Saccharomyces cerevisiae S288C: one gene and its partner. The gene in region 2 interacts genetically with the main gene of each other region. Each region holds a gene or a part of one and is shown on either strand. Other genes may lie near its edges.

Evidence for each region. Genes that interact genetically often act in the same process or in processes that back each other up.
Region 1: mutations in ALG8 (region 2) and UBP14 together harm fitness more than expected from each alone (negative genetic interaction), as found in Saccharomyces cerevisiae (2 studies listed by BioGRID).

The regions. Positions count from the first base shown.
Region 1 is NC_001134.8:353,172-358,002, reverse strand, and holds UBP14 (ubiquitin-specific protease UBP14), read left to right. Parts: upstream 1-1,985; coding exon 1,986-4,331; downstream 4,332-4,831. Other genes in the region: serine/threonine protein kinase AKL1, read left to right, coding at 1-1,142; TSC3 (Tsc3p), read left to right, coding at 1,437-1,679; MUM2 (Mum2p), read left to right, coding at 4,710-4,831. UniProt on the Saccharomyces cerevisiae protein: Required for the adaptation to the presence of glucose in the growth medium; mediates the degradation of enzymes involved in gluconeogenesis when cells are shifted to glucose-containing medium.
Region 2 is NC_001147.6:451,169-455,042, reverse strand, and holds ALG8 (dolichyl-P-Glc:Glc1Man(9)GlcNAc(2)-PP-dolichol alpha-1,3-glucosyltransferase), read left to right. Parts: upstream 1-1,580; coding exon 1,581-3,314; downstream 3,315-3,874. Other genes in the region: VAM10 (Vam10p), read left to right, coding at 830-1,174; VPS5 (sorting nexin 1), read right to left, coding at 1-1,275; MSA1 (Msa1p), read right to left, coding at 3,718-3,874. UniProt on the Saccharomyces cerevisiae protein: Dolichyl pyrophosphate Glc1Man9GlcNAc2 alpha-1,3-glucosyltransferase that operates in the biosynthetic pathway of dolichol-linked oligosaccharides, the glycan precursors employed in protein asparagine (N)-glycosylation.

The DNA.
Region 1 (4,831 bases), on a different chromosome or scaffold from region 2:
AGCAGCAGATGCAAGTTCAGCAACAACTGCAAGTCCAACAGCAAATGCAAATTCAAAATGCAAATAATAATGGTACTTACGTCTCTGATAGAACAAATCATACCACAGAAGATATGAGAAATGCTCAGGGGGGTGAACCTCCAATTCTTGCAGGAAATTCTGCAAATGAACCAATGCACTCATCCTCTAAAAATGAAGCTCTCTTAATTGAACTATCTCCATTAAAAGAAGATGCAGGAAAGCAATCTTTCCAAGATACAAATGAGCCTCAAACTGGCGGTATCGAAGATGCCGGCGGTTCAGGAACTATCAAAGGCTCGAACAATAATCGAAATGGCGTTTTAAATTTAAGTTTGAATGAGATGGACTTATCAAGAGATGATACTGGTGCTGCTGTCTCCTCCTTTTCATCGTCTTCATCGTCTGCATCAATTCAACAAGCTAAGCTTTCTGGACGCAAAGGTTCCAGTAAGAGGAACAATTATTCAACAGACGAATTGGGAGATAGTATGGTCTCCAGCGAAAGCATTGATATTGATTTGGATGATGCAAGGAGAGGAAAAACAGCTGAAAGAAGACCACTCCATAATGAAAGAGGTCATAAAGACCAGGCAAGATCAAGTGATGCTAGTAAGTCTAATCAATTCAAAAGCAAGGACTTCAGCAGCGTATCAACAAGGCAACCGCGGCAGTCATTGGATCTGAATTTCCAGGAAGTAAATCTGTCTTCACCAACGTTAACTCAAGAGCATAGAAATAAAAACGACTCGCCAGCACCAAATTCACATCACTCGTATAGAGTTTCACCTCATGCTTCCACCGCAATAACTGAGAATAAGCGCCACAGTACTGGTCACGAACTGTCAACCCGGTCAAATGGCAAGCATGAAACACACAGGACTGGTTCCAAGCAAAGGCACGATTTGGAAAGATACCGGCATTCGAAGGATAAGGATAGCAATAGCAGCATTACTATTAGCACCTCAACTCCATCAGAGATGAGAAAATCCTTCGCTAGGGCCCGTCAATCGCTTGATTTGGAAAGGGTCCGTCGTGAAGCGATGGCAAGTAGTGCATCCAGTAGTGGTGGCAGTAACGGGAAAAGGAGATCTTTTTTCTCAGTCTTTAGAAGCGAGAAATGATTCGATAAATAGAGCACATATAAAATCATATACATACATTGTTACATATAGAGGCGCAGACAATCCGTATATCTTCCTCAAAAACTAAATTGATAGAACAATAGTAACTCAAATCATATGCATTAAGCATATCGTGCGAGATGACGTTTACTCCTGACGCGCTTAACGAGAAGCGGTTAAGTGAAGAGTAATAGTGCTCGCAATTTGACAGAAATGACACCATTTTAAAAGTACTAGAGATAAAGAGTGTAGAAACCGGAAGAACAAAGGTGGAACATATCATAAGGGGAAGAAATGACACAACATAAAAGCTCGATGGTGTACATACCCACCACTAAGGAAGCTAAAAGACGTAATGGGAAATCAGAAGGCATACTAAATACTATTGAAGAAGTGGTGGAAAAGCTTTATTGGACCTACTACATACATTTACCCTTTTATTTAATGGCCTCTTTTGATTCATTCTTCCTCCATGTTTTTTTTCTCACAATTTTCAGTTTGAGTTTCTTCGGTATACTAAAGTATTGCTTCCTTTGAATGATTATTTATATCCTTATTCGGTTAATAATAGTATAAGCTGGAGGCAAGGGGACAGAAAATTTAGGAGGATATCATGGAGGATAGAGTTACATAAATATACACACAATACATAAACTAATAATTGCTTGTGGCTATAGGATATAATTTATAACAGTTGATGTGCCTTTGAAAAATGACATCGTTTGGAATGAGATCAAATTTATCACTTGATGAAATCACAGTGAAAAGCGACTTGCAATGGCAGTAGAGATGACAGGTAAATTCATCCAAAAAGAGAGCCCGAAGTCTTTCTCACATTCAGAAATGGCAGAAGCAGTACTAGAAAACGTTAACGTTCCTGCAGTCGTTTCAAAAGATGAGTGTATTTATTGCTTTGAATCCCCTTATAATGAACCATTGGCCCTCAATGCATCACCTAAACATTCATTGAATATATGCTTAAACTGTTTCCAAGCTACGTGCAACAGACATGTTCCACTCCATATCCGAGTCACAGAATATGCTTGCGATACCATACATTCCAATTATTTAACTATTGCTAAAGTGGAGAAACCTAAGCAAGAAAATGTAGAAGAAAATAATAACAACAAAAAAATAAAGCTACAGGTAATTGAGACGTCAGAAGACGACACCCACAACACTATTTGGAGTTTACAAAGGTTCAATGGTGAAAATGTTCCCAGGACCGTACTTTCGAAGTCGACAGACTCTGACATTTCTTCTACGGCCTTGGAGAAGATTGAAAAGATATTAAAGGCGAAGTCACAAGACTTCGAGGATAAGAAGAACTCCTGGGTGTTAGAAATCAGCACCTGTCCACATACAGAAAACTTTCAAATTCCATCTAAGCCCGAAAATACTGTGAATTTAAACCAATGCTCTTCCTGTGATTTGACTCAAAATCTCTGGTTATGCCTACATTGTGGTAATATCGGATGTGGCAGGGAACAAATCGGGATTGATGGTCACTCGCATGCTTTGGATCATTATCGGAGTAATAATAATCACCCATTAGCTATCAAATTAGGGTCTTTAAGCTCTTCAACCTATGATCTGTATTGTTACGCATGTGACGACGAAACTAGATTTCCAGATAATGTTAATTTAGGCAGTGCACTACAAATATACGGAATTAACATACAAGAAAAGATTGCGGATGAAAAGACTCTAGTTCAATTACAAGTGGAACAGAACGAAAATTGGCAATTTAGAATGGTCGATTCTAGCGGTAAAGAATTTGAAAAATTATCCGCTAGTAAGAATTATGGCTGTGGTCTGATCAATTTGGGTAATTCCTGTTACTTAAATTCGGTTATACAAAGCTTGGTGAATGGTGGCGTCCCGAATTGGTCCTTGGATTTTCTAGGAAGTAAATTTCCACTGGATGTTGTATATCCGGACAATAATTTAAAGTGCCAATGGATCAAGCTACTCAATGCCATGAAATGTGAACCCGAACTATATCCAAATGGTATCAAACCTACTACTTTCAAGAAATGCATTGGGCAAAATCATCAGGAATTCAGTTCCAATAGACAACAGGATGCGATGGAATTTCTAACCTTCCTTTTAGACTTGTTAGACAAGAAATTTTTTTCAAGTAGTTCTTCAGGTATTCCAAATCCCAACGATTTAGTTAGATTTATGATGGAGGATAGGCTCCAATGTAACATTTGCGGGAAGGTTAAATATTCTTATGAACCCACAGAGGCTATACAGATTCCCTTAGAGGAGAATGATGAACCTCAAGATATGTTAGAGAGAATCAAGGCGTATTTTGAAGGGCAGACGATTGAATTTAAATGTGCTAATTGTAAGGAAAAGGTTACCGCAAATAAAAAACCTGGTTTCAAATCTCTTCCTCAAACACTTATTTTGAACCCAATAAGGATTAGATTACAGAACTGGATTCCTGTTAAGACAAGTAATGAGCTTTCTTTACCAGGTTTAATAGACAGGGATGATATGCTAGATGTTTCGTCTTATTTATCACAAGGATTTGATCCTCAAACTGAAAACTTATTGCCTGATGAGGACGAAAACCGTAGCTCTTTTACGCCAAACCAATGCAGTATTTCTCAATTAATTGAAATGGGCTTTACTCAAAATGCTAGCGTGCGCGCCCTATTTAACACCGGAAACCAAGACGCTGAGAGCGCTATGAATTGGCTATTCCAGCATATGGATGACCCTGATTTAAATGATCCCTTTGTCCCGCCTCCTAATGTCCCCAAGAAAGATAAGAGAGAAGTGGATGAGGTATCATTGACTTCAATGTTATCCATGGGACTAAATCCCAACTTATGTCGTAAAGCCTTGATACTCAACAACGGAGATGTTAATCGTAGTGTTGAATGGGTATTTAACAACATGGATGATGATGGAACATTTCCCGAACCTGAAGTGCCAAATGAAGAACAGCAACAAAAAAAGGATCTTGGATATTCGACCGCTAAACCGTACGCTTTAACTGCAGTTATTTGTCATAAGGGAAATTCTGTCCATTCTGGTCACTATGTTGTTTTTATTCGTAAACTAGTGGCAGACAAATGGAAGTGGGTTCTTTATAACGATGAGAAACTAGTTGCTGCCGACAGCATTGAAGATATGAAAAAAAATGGTTATATTTATTTCTATACAAGATGCTAAAAGAACGTTTACACACACACACACACACACACACACATATATATATATATATATATATATATATATATATATATATTTTGCATTATATGTGTATGATCAAATCTATCGAGTTAAATATTTCTACATATTTCAGTAATAAATCCATTTCCATTAGCTATTTTGCAATGTTTTTTCTTTTTTTTTTTTGCTGCTGTTACCTTCGCCGCTAAAAAATCATTTAAAACAAGAAAAGAGTACATTGTTTGATGAAACAACAAGCAAGAAATGTAAACGATAGTCAAACTTAGTAAGAAGAGAATCAGCTGGCTTGGTACTTGATCTTTTGATTTGACCTCATTCTTTTTGCATACACGGCTCGTTTGGAATACTGTTGTAAAAATGAATTACATGGCTTATGATTATGATCCCCAACATTCGTTGGAAACGTCCTTTAACAATTTGGCATTTCATCCCCACCAACAGTCACAGCAACAAGCCCTATACGAATCTGGTGAAAGAAA
Region 2 (3,874 bases):
TAGTAGTTGTATCTCACTTATCCGGACTTCTGACAGATCGTTGCTATCATTAATAGCGCCAGATCCAGTCAAAAATGCCCTTTTTTTAGACTCTGAACTAAAGTCATCACTTGTCAAAAAGAGTAGAAAATCTTTGTCCTTTTGTAGAACCGGATCTTGACATATTTTTTTTAACATGCTTTCCATTTGAAATCTTCTATTTTCAATGAAATTTTCCTTAAAACTGCCTACTGATTGCTTCTCTGGTGGTGGTGGTATTACTTTACCCCAATGGTTGTTCTGCAATTGACGATATAGCCACCTGAAATCTCTGTAACGCCTGCTTACCTGTGCATATTTTAGCTCAAGTAATGATGATTCACTGATTACAGTATACTCCACATGAATGGATGTTAGCTCTCCTACTTTGACCGGGTCTTTAACTTCAACTTTGAAAGCCACAGCCTTTTCGGTTGGTGGCACCTTTGAGCCAATCTTGGTTTTTCCAAACTTTTCTGAGTTTTCCTCGACCTCAGCAGGACTTGAAATATTAGCACCTGTCTGAGGAAGATTGTATAAAGGCCTGTCCACTTGCTCAAGGATATTTTTTTCAACAGAAGCTGTGAACTTGCCCTCATTGTTTTCTCTCCTTTCATTCCTATCGTCCAATGGCTCTTCAACAAATTCATTCTCTTTTTCAGCTTTCTTTAAGGGATCAGTAAAGGGTGTTTTGATGGTATCATCGGAAGCAGTTGTTCTCTTCGCTTTCAGAGAATGGTTGCGTTTGGAGTTTCTTTGAGCTCTGGCGGAATCAAACAGAATTCGTGGTTTGCCGGATCTTCTTCCAGAGATGCTTTTTGAAGTATTTGGTGAAGTGTTAGCATCGTATATCGTATCGTCAAAAACTAAGGGAGAGTTGGCGTTTCCAGTGAACAATGCGCCACCGGATTCTCTTGTTGCAATAAATTGTGTAGTGCTATTCTTGAGATCAGCAATCGGATCCTGTTCAGGGGCTAAAGAATTAATAAGATCGTCAGCTTTGGAATTGTCATGCTCCTCTAGTTGCGGATTACCAGCCACCGACAAACCAGGGTCTTTCCATTCTGGCGCACTATCCAAGTCTATCTTGTCCGCAAATGAAGCTGTGGTCTCTAAAAGCTCATTGTCTTTTCTTTCTTCATTTGTAGATATTTGACCAATTGATTCAATTGAATTTGAAACGAGGCTCTGAGTTTTATCTCCCTCATGATTTAGTTCGTCCCAAACAGGTGCTTCTAGATTATCCTCGTAGTCCATGGCTTGTTATTGCAGGATGTATGAAAGTTTATAAAATCCCTGCTGCAAATTAAGAGATATATGGTTTCGTTCACTACGTAGTTATAGTAAATAACCTTTGCTTAACCCATTTTTCAAAGCATTTTTAAAATTTACTGTTATCACTTAGTTGTTCTTAGCGGACAACTTCCGAAAAGTGAAATTTCATTTTTCAAAACGACAATAGTGGTATAGAATTATAGAATAACATACGTTAAAAATAGCTGAAGTTCATTACAGTTCTGTAGTGGTCAGCAAGGCATTTGACGTCTATTGGATAGCCTACGATGAAAGGTGATCGTTCGAGGCAAAATATGGCTGTGACAAAGAAGGCAAAGTTAAAAAAAAATGACGAGCCAAAAAAGGTTTTGAAGACTGCCGCGACCGAAAAAGGTGAGGGATCCAAGCGCTACTCCTTATGGAATTTCTGGATAAGCACATTGTTTTTAAAATTACTATTGATTCCTGACTACTTCAGTACAGATTTTGACGTTCATAGAAATTGGCTGGCAATCACCAATAAATTGCCCATCAGCGAATGGTATTATGAGCACACTAGTCAATGGACATTGGATTATCCGCCATTTTTTGCTTATTTTGAATGGTTTTTATCGCAATTTGTTCCTAAATCTGTACGTGATGACGGTTGTTTGGATATAGTGGAGATCGGAAAGTTCGGTTTGCCAACAATCGTTTTCCAACGACTCACTGTCATCTTCAGCGAAATTCTTCTATTTGTCATCCTTCAAATATACATTAATACTACAAAGCTAAGTGAAAGATCTCAAAGTTTTGTGGTTGCTTCTAGCATTGTACTATCACCCGGGTTTTTAATAATAGATCACATTCACTTCCAATATAATGGTTTTCTTTTTGCGATTCTAATAGGCTCCATTGTCGCCGCCAAGAATAAGAGATACATCTTGTGCGCTGTTCTGTATACTACAGCCATATGTTTCAAGCATATATTTTTATATTTGGCGCCATGTTATTTCGTGTTTTTATTGAGAGCATACGTTCTCAATGTCAACAATTTCAAGTTTAAAAGTTACAAAGATTTTTTGTTCCTGATAAGATGGGCAAATCTTTTGAAGTTGGCTACCGTTGTTGTTGGAATTTTCACTATTTGTTTCCTTCCATTTGCTCATCAAATGCCGCAAGTGTTGAGCAGGTTATTCCCATTCTCAAGAGGACTGACGCATGCATATTGGGCACCAAATTTCTGGGCGTTGTATTCTTTTATGGATAAAATACTCACTACGGTAATGTTGAAATTACCGTACGTCCACACTTTTGCTACAAAATTTATTAAACCTCCTCTGATCCCTCAGAATATCAAGGAAATTAATGAAAGGCTCGCGGCAAACAACAATGGAAGTAAAGGTCTAGTTCAAGACGTATTTTTTGTTATTCTCCCTCAAATTCCTCCAAAATTAACGTTTATTTTGACGATATTTTACCAGGTCTTAGCAGTACTTCCACTTTTGTTTGATCCATCGTTCAAAAGATTTGTTGGCTCGTTGACTCTCTGTGGGTTGGCATCGTTTTTGTTCGGGTGGCATGTGCATGAGAAAGCTATAATGCTAGTCATCATTCCGTTCACATTTCTTGTTGGATTTGATCGTCGTCTTTTGGTACCGTTTATGTTAGTTGCCTCAGCTGGTTATGTTTCCTTGTATCCTCTTCTGTACAAAGGCCAAGATTTTTTCATTAAAACATTATACACTTATGTTTGGTGTATAATTTATTTTGCCGCTTTTAGAAAAACTACGAAGATTTCTTCAAGTGTAGAAAGAAGAATCTTTTTCTTGGATAGGTTGGCATTAACGTACATCTTTTCATTGTTACCAATCGTCACCGTATTACAAATATTGGATGAAGTCAAGTGGAGATATTCATTTTTGCAAAAATTTGAATTCTTAGGATTAATGATATATAGTGTCTATTGTTCATTAGGTATAATCAGCTCGTGGTTTGCCTTATCGTGGTTATATAATTTTGACGAATTACTATGGCAGTGATACAATATCGCTTCCCTAGGACGTTAAAAAAAAAGTGATATAAAATTATTTATATATGAATCGATTTTAGAAATATTTATTGTACATTTTCACCTACTAACTAATTGAATAACGATTAGATTTCGATTTATGCAGTCCCTCACGCCAGTTCCTCATTATTTTTCGTTTACGTATTGTGCGTTTTACACTTGAATTAAAATAACATTACATTAAACTGAATGAAGGTCAACTCCATTCACATGCATCAGTTGAAAGGTATATAAGTACTACTTCAATATATTATCTATCAGCTCTGGGAAAATGCTTTAAGAAGGAAAAAAGGTAAGTAAACTATTTTTTAACGCTTCATGATTATTGAATGGTCCTTTTGGCTCATATCGTTTTCATGAATCTATGACTATTTTCACTGATCATCGATTAATCTTTTCAAGGCAGTTCTAGCATCATCCTGTTTGTTGCTGTACGGGTTTTGTTTTAGTGAATCGTCAAAGCTAGAGGGAGCTTTCCCGGTTCCAACAGGGAACCCGTGTAAATTAGGAGTTGCACTGTTCGAAATTGAA